Yarrowia lipolytica: one gene and its partners. The protein of the gene in region 2 interacts with the protein of the main gene of each other region in a pairwise test. Links are inferred from orthologs where the notes say so. Each region holds a gene or a part of one and is shown on either strand. Other genes may lie near its edges. The genes, in order: YALI1_E35023g, YALI1_B16944g and YALI1_D02362g.

Region 1 (3,181 bases), on a different chromosome or scaffold from region 2:
CGAGTGTCCTCTTAAGAAGCTGGTACAGTATGAATCAAAAACCGCAAATGGAGTACAGCTCCTGATTCCCTTCACACGATATTTTCGAGCATGTCAGGTCAACGGACGAGAGCAGTTGTATGAGGTGACGACAAAATCACAGAACGTCCCATTGAAAAACATTCGGGATATCGACCCGCTGGATGACTTCAGATCGGCGATGAAGCTGGCTGAAAATAAGGAGTATGAGAAGCCTGTTTAGGTAAGCACAGATTGGAGAACGAGTTTGGACTTTATCTCACACTAGTCTATCCCACCCTCCCCCACTCTATTCACAGCTGTCACTTTCTAAGCATCGGGGAGAGACGCCACTCCTAAATTGAACGCCTAGGAAAACCCTCTACGATGTCACCTTTGTAAATAGTACTAATATAAGTTATCAAGATCTACGATGTTCTTGGGCAGTTCTCTTTTGACCCCAAGACTCCACTGCCACTCTACTGTGTGTCAGGATACCGTACTCTCAGTACTTCTTTCGTGCTCATGCTCTGTTACTCTAATGCAATGGTTAATAAGTACTGCCTTCGGCGGGCTGGGGCAGCTTTCTGTTGGCGGGCTGGCCCATGTCCTTTCGCAGCTCCAGCAACACCGTCTCCATCGTGTTGCTTCGTTTCCAGTGAGCGAGACATGGCAGGTTGGCGGGAATCACCACGCCGCTCTGCTGGTTAACGCAGGGAATGTTGATTTTCGAAATGAACTTGACGGTGGGGGGCTGGTCGGGGTAATCGGGGCCACATTCGAGTGTCAACGAGTAGATGCGGTTCTCGTGGGCAGAGTGGGGAGGTCCGAGGATGGTTCCGTTCCAGAAAGTCATTTCGATATCGTCGGAATCGGCCAGTCCTAGCGAGCAAGCTTCGGATCCGATTCCTTTTTCACCGTTGTCGAGCTCCTCCAGGAGTCGAAATGATCGGGGCCTGAGTTAGTAATCCGGACGGTGAGGTTGCGTGACCATGTAGTTAGGGGTTCTGGGCGTTTGCTTGGAATACGTAAGTCAAATCCGCGATTAAATCAAAACAACGGTTGTTCCCACACTTCCTCCTCCCCATACTCACATTTTGGCGGCCATTATGTTGTCGTTTTTGGTGTTCTAGATGAGGTTAAGCTGTCAAGTAGGCAAGGTAATTAGCTCGTCGTGCTCGGAAGATGCATGAGGGTAACGTAAGGCCGGTTGCTGGGACAACGACGTTCAGGAACCTTAATTTCTACCACCAACATCACGCTCACACCTACCAAAACCACCGGACCACAGTCATCATAATACCCCAACGGTGCAATGTCGGACACTCCCTCATCGCCGTTCATTGAGCATCCGGAAACCCCCAGGAAAGCGCTCTTCAGTAGTAATCGCCCCTCTCCAGTTCGATCTACACACGCCACACCTTCGCTCCATGGCACACCATCCACCGCAAGTCGGTTTTCAAGAACCCCTAGAGAAGACGTGATCGGGCTTAAAAAAACGATTTCGCAGTTGCGCTATGATTTGGAGGCACTCAAACAGGAGCAACAGGTTGCTCAGATTCTGCAGGAGGAAAAGGAGCGAGAACTGGAGGCCAAGCACAAGAAAGAGCTGGATCGAGCTGAACAAGCAGAGTCTGACCAGGTGTTTCTGTTCAACAAACAAAAAGAACTCTCAGACGAAAATCGCACGCTTAAAGAGGAATTGCGATCTCTTCAGTCTCAGCATGAGGCTGATGGACGTGAATTGAATCATGAACTGGAAGGATTGAAGGACTTGCTGAATGATCTACAATCGGAGAACCGAGCTCTTGTGTCGGAAATGAACTACAAGATTGAAGACTACGAACACAGAATCAAGGCGGCATCTACAACGACTGACGATCTGCTCAAGGAGGTTGAGAATAGAGGTACTGCCCTCACAGAAGCTAAAATGAACGTGGTTAAATTCGAGCAGCTGGTAGAATCCTTGAAGGGCGAATCATTGGATCTCAAACAGTCGGCCAAAGATCTGGAGGCTGTGGAGCAGACTAAAAGTCAACTTTCTGACCAGATCAAGTATTCGCGAGAACTGGAGGCGAAAGTGTCTGCCCTGACAGTGAGAGTAGAGGCGGCTGAGTCTGCACAGCAGCTCAGTCAGGTCTATGAAGAAGATCTGAGTAGCATGAAGGGTAAATTGAAGAACATGGAAGGTCTCAGACAACAGCTAGCGGAACAGCAGTTGCAAATTCTGGTACATGAGGAGAACAGCGCCAAGTGGAAGGCCTATTTGGAAAAATCGGACGAGTTCAAAACTGTGGAGGAGGTTGTCACAGCTCTTAACAAGGCTAGAATGGAAAAAGCTAGCTTGTTGGAGCGTGCCGGTTCAGGAGTGAATGATGAAACCCGGTCTACAGCTGAAGCATATGCGAGATTGCAAGAGCGAGTCACCACCCTTGAGTCCGAGCTGCAGCTGGCCCAAAACCAACTCAAGACAGAGAAAAAGAAAGTTGCTACCTCTATCAGGCAGCACACACTTGCTGCCAACGAGGCAAAGTTCCTTAGAGAGCAGCTGAAGGCGTACGATGATGAGGAGGTCACAGCAGCTGGCGCTGACGTTAAGCAGGGTCGTATTGACGAGCTGGAGAAACTGTTAGAAGCGGTCAAGAACGAGAAGAGTGTTTTGGAAGGTGAATTGAAGGAGGCAAGAAGCGAGCAAGGGTGTACTGTTGCTGCAGGTACCAAACGACCTCGCGCAGACGATAGTGTATCGTCAGAAGTCATATCTGAGTACACACGTAAGTTGCAGACTCTTCAGCAGGAGTTTGATGAGGTCTCTGTCGAGGCCAGACTTCTTGCAAAGACCAAGGAGGCCTTGGAGGCACGGCTTGAGAGTCTTGAGAAGAGCCAGGAATCACGAGTGCGAATTCTTGAGCTGCGTGAGAACCCAACTTCTCGCCATGAAGCTGTCAAGCAAAGCATGCTGGACACACTTAAAGCTGAGAACGAGGCTCTGATGGGCAAGAACGAAAACTCAAAGTCTGTACCCCAGGCTTCACTTGAGAGAAAGCAGCTGGAACTCCAGGGTGTCAGAGATAAGCTGGCATCTACGGAAAAGTCGTATCAACGACTCAAGGAGGTGTTCTCGGTCAAGTCGCTGGAATTTAGAGAAGCAGTGTATGCTCTAACTGGATACCAAATTGACATC
Region 2 (3,863 bases):
CTTCGGTATGTTCTATGCCAGAGACGTGTGCCACTTCTGTTTCCGATCTCGACGACGATTACATGAGCGCAGAGACCGTGGCTGAACTGGCTAACAACAAGAACAAGCTTGTGGTTGTTATCGATAGCGCCGTATACGATCTGAGCGACTACAAGGCACAAAACGGACTAGTGCAAATGGTGCTGAAGTCTCTGAATGGCACAGACGCTTCGTGGCAGTTCTGGAGAATGAACACCCGACAGCAATGGGAGGAGATTCAGAAGTTTCGAATCGGAGTGTCAACAGGAGTCCCCACCAAGTACAGCCCGCCTCGAGAGCGCTTCTTCTCTCTAAGAAGAGTCTACTGATCATTTTTTTGACAGGTGTGGAGAAGACGGACAGGACGAGGAGAAGCATTAGACGAACTGGAGTCGTCACACTAACATATTTATAGCATGCATTACCAATCACACATAACCAAGAGGCAGTAGGCTAAGTATTCCAGTAGGTGCCTGTCGGGAGTAGTCGGAGGTTTAGGGGGGATGTACTGTACAAGTATCAGTACTCTCAGTCGAAAGTATGGCTACAATAGTTGATAAACAGCTCACAGAATGTAATTATGCCAGCTAAATATACCAACTATCAAAAGACTGTGCTTTGTAATGCTCATAATTATACTTGGGGGTCTTAAGTACACACATTTATTGCCTGTTGTCTCTACACGGCAACCCAAGTGAAACATGTTTCAGTGACAACGGCGAGCAAAGAACGGCTTTACAGCAAAGCAATCATAAAGGGGAGTTTGCGACACATAACAGACTCACCAAAATGAGTGTGGAAGCCTCACAGACGTCCAATGCGACATTACTTACTGAGCCATATTAGCTAGTCCTAAATATGATTGGGGTGAGAGGAGAAATAATGTGTGTACAGGTATGCTCACTTGAGTAAGGGAACTACAACCACGGCCCATCCGTGCTCAGCCACTTGTTCACGATAACTGCGCAGGCAACATATGCTCATACCCCTCCCCCACTTCACATGAAAAACCGGTGTCAGTGTCCTGGCAAAAGTTAGCCTCGGCGACCAGGGTCGCCTGCCTACCGATGTTATGCAGCAGGTTATCATTGTTATCGGTGTTATCGGTGTTATCGGGACTATCTGCGGTCACGGGCATATGTGTGGCCGATATTCCGACAGTGCACCAGCTTGCGAGCCGCGGCTTTTTCGGCTAGCGCAATTTATGGGGCTTTTCCTTTTAGAGCCCTTCCATGTGGTTTGACACCTTTGCAACCGCCGTTGTCCTTGCACCAGTAGCCGTTTTTGTCCATTCGAAATAGACTATGAGAGAGCGAGGCATTGGGAGAGTCAAGGCAATGGAGGGGGGAGCCGTTTCGTCGAGGACTGAGCTATGTACTGTAGCACCTCAACAGAAGTACGAGAACATAACATACTTAGAATGTTGGTACAATATACAGAACACTGCTACAGGAAACACCCATTATATATAACTTTTTTTCTTTTGGTAGATACACAGATATCACACAGAGACAGACACTCACAACGTTTGCACCCAATAACTTGCTCCGCCAACATGACAACACATGTCAAATGCATAGTATGATTGGTAACATGAGTGTAGAAACGAATACAACTACCGGTAGAGGTCTGTTGATGACAAAAAAATATATATTTACAGGCAAACCACATCGCAAATACCTTTTAGTCTGGTTACTATCACGTCCAAAACAGCCTCCAAGACTCGCTACACCCCCACCCCGCACGTGACCCTAACCCAAGATAAGCGCGCAACCAAACCTACACACCAGACTAAATATCGGACTCTCAAGACTCGTCTACACAGTCACTCTACCATGGGAAACGTTCCGGGAAAAGAACAGCAGGTGCGCAACGCACGGTCCGTTTCTGAGGACTACCACCGCGAAGGCCAGGTCAGATCCAAGAGGCCCTCTGCGCCTCGAGAAAAAAAGCGGGAGCCAAGAGTCTTTGTAGACCCCAATGAACAAGTGGATGGTGGCTATCTGGTGCCTCAGGGAGTCTACACCGGACCACAGGATTTCGACATTCTTGTTGTCAAGAGCCTGATGACTAGTCGCAAGCTTGCACCGTTTTTCAAGGGTCTACAGGACTATGAGGAGGAATGGACTGATCATCAACTTATGGCTGCCATTAGGGGCTTTCCTATCCCCAGTGCAGCATCAGAATCGCCTACAACCGAATCTACAGACACAAAAGACGCTTCAGCTTCCACCTCAACCCCTCACGCAATTTCCACACCTTCACATCTGTCGCCACCTACAGCTCCTCCTCAGGTGGCCATCTCGCCTCCCCGACACACTTTGTCATCGAACAACCCGTTCAGAGACCCGTTGGAGCATATGTCGCATCTGAGAATCGATCTGGACAACACCACGTTTTCCCAGAGCGCCCCAACACCGTCGTGGATGCGTTCCGGAGAACCCGATCAGGAGGACGGGGACGAACTCATAAACCCAGGCATTCTACAGTCCCCACCAAGCAGGGAGGCTCCCAAGCCACCACCCTCACGACAACGGGCCAAAACGCTCACCAACAAAGAGCCCCCGCTTATGGTCAAAATCTACAGAGACCCCATCGAGTGTCCCATTTGTTTTCTGTACTACCCAAACTCGCTCAACATGACCCGATGCTGTGCCCAGCCCATTTGCTCCGAGTGTTTTGTGCAAATGAAGCGAGCTGAACCTCATCCTCGACATGACGAGCCTGAACCTGACACGTTGCTGGGACAGCTGGATCTCATCTCCGAGCCCACAGCCTGTCCCTACTGTGCTATGTCCGACTTTGGAGTAGTGTATTCGCCTCGACACGGCCCCGGAGCCAAGGCTGCAGGAGCCAACAGTGCTGATGCCGCTGCAGCCAAAGGGAACGGTGACGAGTCTGCTATTGATGATTCGGGAGACTCATCAGACGGCATTGACACCACCAACATGGACGATGTGGCTGACAAGCTAATGCACATGTCCGGTGCAAAGCGTCGATCGTCCATCAGTGTCACCAACCCCAACGTCGTGACCGTTGATCGTGTGCGACCCGACTGGTCAAAGACGCTGGCTGCTGCTCGAGCTAGAGCTGCACGAAAGGCTGCTACTGCCAACGCTCTTCATGCCACGGCTTTTGTGGAAGGAGGCAATGGGGAGGTGGCTGGATCATCTAGATCATCGCGACGAACCCGCCAAAACCACGAACAACGGCAGGCTGCCCGTGCTCAGGAGTTGGAGCAGATCATGCTCTCAGAGGCTATGCGTCTAAGTATGCTGGAGAGCCAAGAGGCGGAAGAGAAGCGCTCCAGGGAGCAGGAGAGCAAGTAGGAAGCAAGAGTCAGGTAAAAGCGTTTGAAAAAGTCTGCCACCAAGAGCAACTTTTCCACAACCAACGAATAGATATTTATATGCATAGCGTCGAGAGTTGTAGAGAGGGTTGTAGACAGACACTAGCAGTGGAAATAAGCCAATTGCGTGTATGAGATGGTATCTGAAGGCACGATACATTATCCAATTATACAGTATTAACACATTACAATACAGTATGAGTAGCTACAATGTACGACGATACAGCTACTGTAGATGAGTTTAATGTTTATTGTAGCTACTTAGACCTTTCTATTAGCAGACAGTATCCAGTTGAGCTATGTAACCAAAAGGATTCTGCCTCGTCATATATCCTCAATACCGGATAAGTAGCAACCTGGCAATCAGGGGCCTACTACGTCGCCAAGGATCTACACTCTAGCCGCCGTAATTAATGCACTGCAGGGTCTGCAGAATGTCTTGTCTCAATTTGTGGTGCCTGCTTGAAGTGGGGTCGTATGTATATGGTACCTTGAG
Region 3 (4,336 bases), on a different chromosome or scaffold from region 2:
CCAACTACAAGAGCAAAACCTCGTCGGCTCTTATTGTCATGTCTACCGTGGACCACTTTGAGAGTATCATCGTCAAGGAGCATCAGCAGCGGTCTGCCAACCCGGATATTGTCATTCGAGACAACTATTCCGGCTACAAGAAGAGTATTGCGCCGTTTGTGGGTTCTTTTTGGGCCGAAATCCAGCCTAGAGAATTCAAGGAGTCTAGAGAGCGAATCTTTCTCAAGAAGTTCACCAAGGAGTGTTTGGCCTAGACTACACCAGGGAAACGTATTAATGAATTATGACCGACTAGTTGGAGTTGTAGGTGATGCAACAGTTTAGGAGTATGTTACACGTATGTACTGTATGTACTGTATCGATACAATACAAGTACATCGTATCCTGTAGTCGTATAATTATTCTTAACTCATTATTTTAAACAACGACTCTACACAATCCATCCACACTCATGTTACACCTCTGATCATTCAACTGACTCAGCTACTGCTTAATTATCTATATTGTACGTGCCATAATCCCCTCTAAATCCCTAGTGTGCTCTACAAGTGCTTACTTCTCACTCTCCTTCTGAGAACTCACGGCCAGCTCCATAATGAGCCGGGTGGCCAGATGCAAGAAGGGGTATGCGGAAAACGTGAAGGTCTCGTTGGCGGACTTTGAATTCGACACCTGGGCGACATCGCGGGTCTTAATCTCACCGCTCTCCGTCTCGCACTCCCAGCCGTCAAACTTGAAGTCCACCAAGTACGAGTTCTGCTCCAGCAGATACAGTTGAATCTGCATCTTAAGCAGTCCGCTGTCTGGCTTAGTTGTGCTGTCCGACTCATCCTTTTCAGGGGTGTATCTCCATCGCACCCTGATGGTCCACAGGTCGTTCTCTGATGGCTTTGCCCACTCGGCTCCCAGGTTCTTGAGAGCTCGGTAGAGCTCACCCATCACGTCGAGAGGGTACGACTTGGACCGAATGCCGAAATGCCATCGGGTCTTTGATTTTCGCGATGAGATGGGATTCAGCTTACGCAGGGTAGCGGGACCATGGGCCATCATGTTGGCCCGATGGTATGCTGGCAGCGAGGAGGGAAGAACAGCAATGGTTGTGTTAGGGGTTCGAAGATCAGAATGGTCGACAATGGTGGGCATGTGATGTGAGTCAAACGTCAGAGCCGGCGGGTTCTTTCGCGAGAACTGGTGCTTAGGCTTGCCGGATTCGTCCACCTTGTCGAACACGGTCGAGTCCTTCTCCAACTGCTGTCTGTTCTCCTTCATGAGGTCGTAGGCATCTCGGATTTCGGTTCCGTCGGATTTAGGAGCCTTGAGAGCCTCGTAGACCTGGTCTCGGTCGTAGCCCATGGTGTCTGAAAGAGCACCCACAACCTTGTCGTCGATTTCCACCTGATCAGGCTTCAGGTCACGTGGAACAAGGTACTCGGCAATGCCCTGTTTAAACCAGGGGTCTTCCATGATGCCCTGGACGGTGATTCGGTTCAGGGGGTTGACCACCAGCATCTGTTGAAGCAGGTGTTTTGCGCCGGCAGACAGATAGGGGGGAATGGTGTAGACACCATTGGAGATCTTCTTGAAGAGGTTGGGGATGAATTCGTCGTCAAAGGGGAGACGGCCGCACAGCATGACGTATAGAATGACACCACAGGACCACACGTCGACCTCGGGGCCAGCATACAGCTTGCCACTGATAACCTCGGGAGCAGCATAGTTGGGAGAGCCACAACTGGTCTTGAGGAAGTTACCATCGGTCATAATGTTGGAGAGTCCAAAGTCGGCAATCTTGACGTTGAGGTTTTCGTCGAGCAACAGGTTCTCGGGCTTGAGGTCTCTGTGCACAATCTTGTGTCTATGGCAGTACTCGACTGCGGAGATGATTTGTTGGAAGAATCGCCTAGCCTCGTCTTCGGGCATCTTTCCACGTTGCACAATGTAGTCAAAGAGCTCCTTGCCGGCAAATTCAATCACCATGATGATTTCATCCTTGGACTTGATCACGTCGTACAGCTTGATGATGTGGGGGTGTCTGAGCAGTCGCAGGTACGAGATTTCCCGCTCGACTCGGCCCTGCATATCCGACTTGGCCAGCGTCTTTCTGTTGATGATTTTGAGCGCTACTTTTTCGTGGGTGGCCAGATGGTAGGCGAGCTTGACCTTGCCAAAGGAGCCCTCTCCCAGAGTCTTGATGATTTGGTACCGGCCAATTCGGCCGCTCTCGGAGCCCGAGAAGGACGGTTGGGGCGACTGCTTGGCGTTTTCGGCGTGTTCCACGTGTTCGGTCGCCATTTGTGAGGTGGTGGAAGGAGTGGTATGTAGTCGTGGAGGTGGTGATAATAGAGTGTGGTGTGGAGGTGGTGTTGGGACACACCCTAAACTTTGATGGTGTGATAAGGAGGAGCAGAGTCGATAGCGAGGGTGTCTATTAAGGAAGAGAGAGAAGAGAAGAAGAGGGTTCGACGTATATGTAGATTTATTCCGTTTGTGTCACTCGTTTGATTTAACAGAGATGGAAATGTCACACCTCGAAATGCATGTTCTACAGGGAGTGTGTCTTACACCACCCTCGCAGCAGAGTTCAATCGAGAAAACGCGCGAGCAAAAACTGGTAAGCAAAAAATGGTCAGCAAAAAACTGGGTGCACTGGGAGAAACACAAATCCGAACAAGAAGCACAAAATGAAGCGTCAGATTGACGTAGATATGTCTTCGCTGTCGATCATCATCAATTAGCCTCGTCATTATATACGCTATACGGTCCTGTAGCAATGGTATCATCTCTACTGTAACTTGTGGCAACGCTTATTACGTAGAGGCGCATTAAAACTGATAATTAATTACGCCTAAACTGGACCATGTCTAAGATGAGTAAGCCGCAACTGTTCATCTAACAGAGGTTCCCCAATTATTACATCTCAAAAAAGATTTAACTAAGCCAACAGATATTGTAAGGCTTGCTTGCCTTGACAGTATCTCATGCTTTGATCACTAATCAAGAATCTATATTTATATATAATGCAGTTAGTCCTTCCGGTCCCGGCCATATTCATCTGTTTCCTTTTTGACAGTCGGAGATCTTGATCTTGATCGGTTGTACCGACTTGAACGACTTGACCTGTCGTCTCTATCTCTATCTCTGTCTCTGTCTCTTCGATCGCCATTCCTCCTATCTCCATCTCTTCTGTTTCTTCCTTTTGCGTCTCTTCTGTCGTTTCTTTCCCTTCTATCACCTCTGTCTCTTCCACCACCGCCCCCACCACTCCAACTCTCAATCTTGATTTCCCGCTTCACCCGCTCCTGCTCCATCTGCTCCTTCTTGATGGCAATCAACTGCGGCGGAATGCCGTCCTTGTCTTTCTGGGCAGCCACCAGCAGCTCCCACAGCTCCTTGCAGAACTTGGCTGTGTTCTCCTCCAGAAACCCGTTCAGATTCAGCTGGATCTCCCGAATATCTGGCTTGTCTCCACCCAACAGTTCCAGGGTGTAATCAGTGATAATGTCGTCGTCTGGCAGCAGCTCATTCAGCTTCGTAGTGATCCACCGGTTGATGATCGGCCGGTTCACCTTGGTCATGTCCACCGCCTCTCTGTAGATTTTCGGCACGCGCAACTTGGCGAGATCTCGCTCTTGGCGCTGTTTTGCCTCTGCAGATGATACTGGAACTCCTCTGAAGGACATGGTGACGATTACTTTGGTGATCTTGTCTGAGGAGAATACAAATAGTTCTGCATGTACAGTGCAGTGCAGGAGGCATGCGTGTCGCCGAAATGGTGCGAGACTGGAGAGAAAAAAGCCAGAATAAGAGGGACAGATGATGGCGCGATTAATTTCTGGGACCGTTTTTGTTTCCCTGAAAAACCAACAATCTTTTTTGATCACGCTCAAGAACCGATTCCAATCACTGTACTCGGCCACTCTCAAACCCAATCTTCAACTCAACCTTCATCACTCCAAACATGAACATTGACAAACCAGAAAACCCGTTCACAGCGCCATTGGCAACGGGATACAGCAAGCAGCCACCGAAATGTGAAATATCCAGCTACGACCGATCAAGCGGGAGCTTTGCAGCAACCCAGCTCCAAAAACTGCTCGATGACAACACTCAGTATCTCATGGCAGTGCCTCACAATGGTCCTCGAATAACAGACACAGAAAGAACGCTACTTGAACGAGATCTGGCTGCGACAGTGGCTTCTTTGGACGATCCCCACGACTTACTGTCTGTCATCAAGCTGCTTTCAGCCATTGAGCATGTGCTTACTACTCTGGTCATGGACACCCCTACCCAGTACAGTATGAGCCAGTTGTGGGGTATCGCTTCCAGATATATG

What was found.
Region 1: the proteins of YALI1_B16944g (region 2) and YALI1_E35023g interact in a protein complementation assay, tested with the Saccharomyces cerevisiae proteins (2 studies listed by BioGRID). The link is inferred for Yarrowia lipolytica from reciprocal best matches to the Saccharomyces cerevisiae genes SIP5 and MMS2.
Region 3: the proteins of YALI1_B16944g (region 2) and YALI1_D02362g interact in a two-hybrid assay, tested with the Saccharomyces cerevisiae proteins (2 studies listed by BioGRID). The link is inferred for Yarrowia lipolytica from reciprocal best matches to the Saccharomyces cerevisiae genes SIP5 and SNF1.

The regions. Positions count from the first base shown.
Region 1 is NC_090774.1:3,501,421-3,504,601, forward strand, and holds YALI1_E35023g (uncharacterized protein), read right to left. Parts: upstream 1,106-3,181; coding exon 1,092-1,105; intron 954-1,091; coding exon 548-953; downstream 1-547. Other genes in the region: YALI1_E35012g (uncharacterized protein), read left to right, coding at 1-241; YALI1_E35027g (uncharacterized protein), read left to right, coding at 1,313-3,181. UniProt on the Saccharomyces cerevisiae protein: Has a role in the DNA error-free postreplication repair (PRR) pathway. Lacks catalytic activity by itself. The UBC13/MMS2 heterodimer catalyzes the synthesis of non-canonical poly-ubiquitin chains that are linked through 'Lys-63'.
Region 2 is NC_090771.1:1,692,561-1,696,423, forward strand, and holds YALI1_B16944g (uncharacterized protein), read left to right. Parts: upstream 1-1,853; coding exon 1,854-3,347; downstream 3,348-3,863. Other genes in the region: YALI1_B16922g (uncharacterized protein), read left to right, coding at 1-347. UniProt on the Saccharomyces cerevisiae protein: May negatively regulate the SNF1 kinase by promoting the interaction of the REG1/GLC7 phosphatase complex with the kinase. Deletion of SIP5 promotes resistance to artemisinin, which is probably an indirect effect of an action on the electron transport chain.
Region 3 is NC_090773.1:234,172-238,507, reverse strand, and holds YALI1_D02362g (uncharacterized protein), read right to left. Parts: upstream 2,293-4,336; coding exon 553-2,292; downstream 1-552. Other genes in the region: YALI1_D02399g (uncharacterized protein), read left to right, coding at 1-254; YALI1_D02348g (uncharacterized protein), read right to left, coding at 3,024-3,680; YALI1_D02345g (uncharacterized protein), read left to right, coding at 3,959-4,336. UniProt on the Saccharomyces cerevisiae protein: Serine/threonine protein kinase essential for release from glucose repression.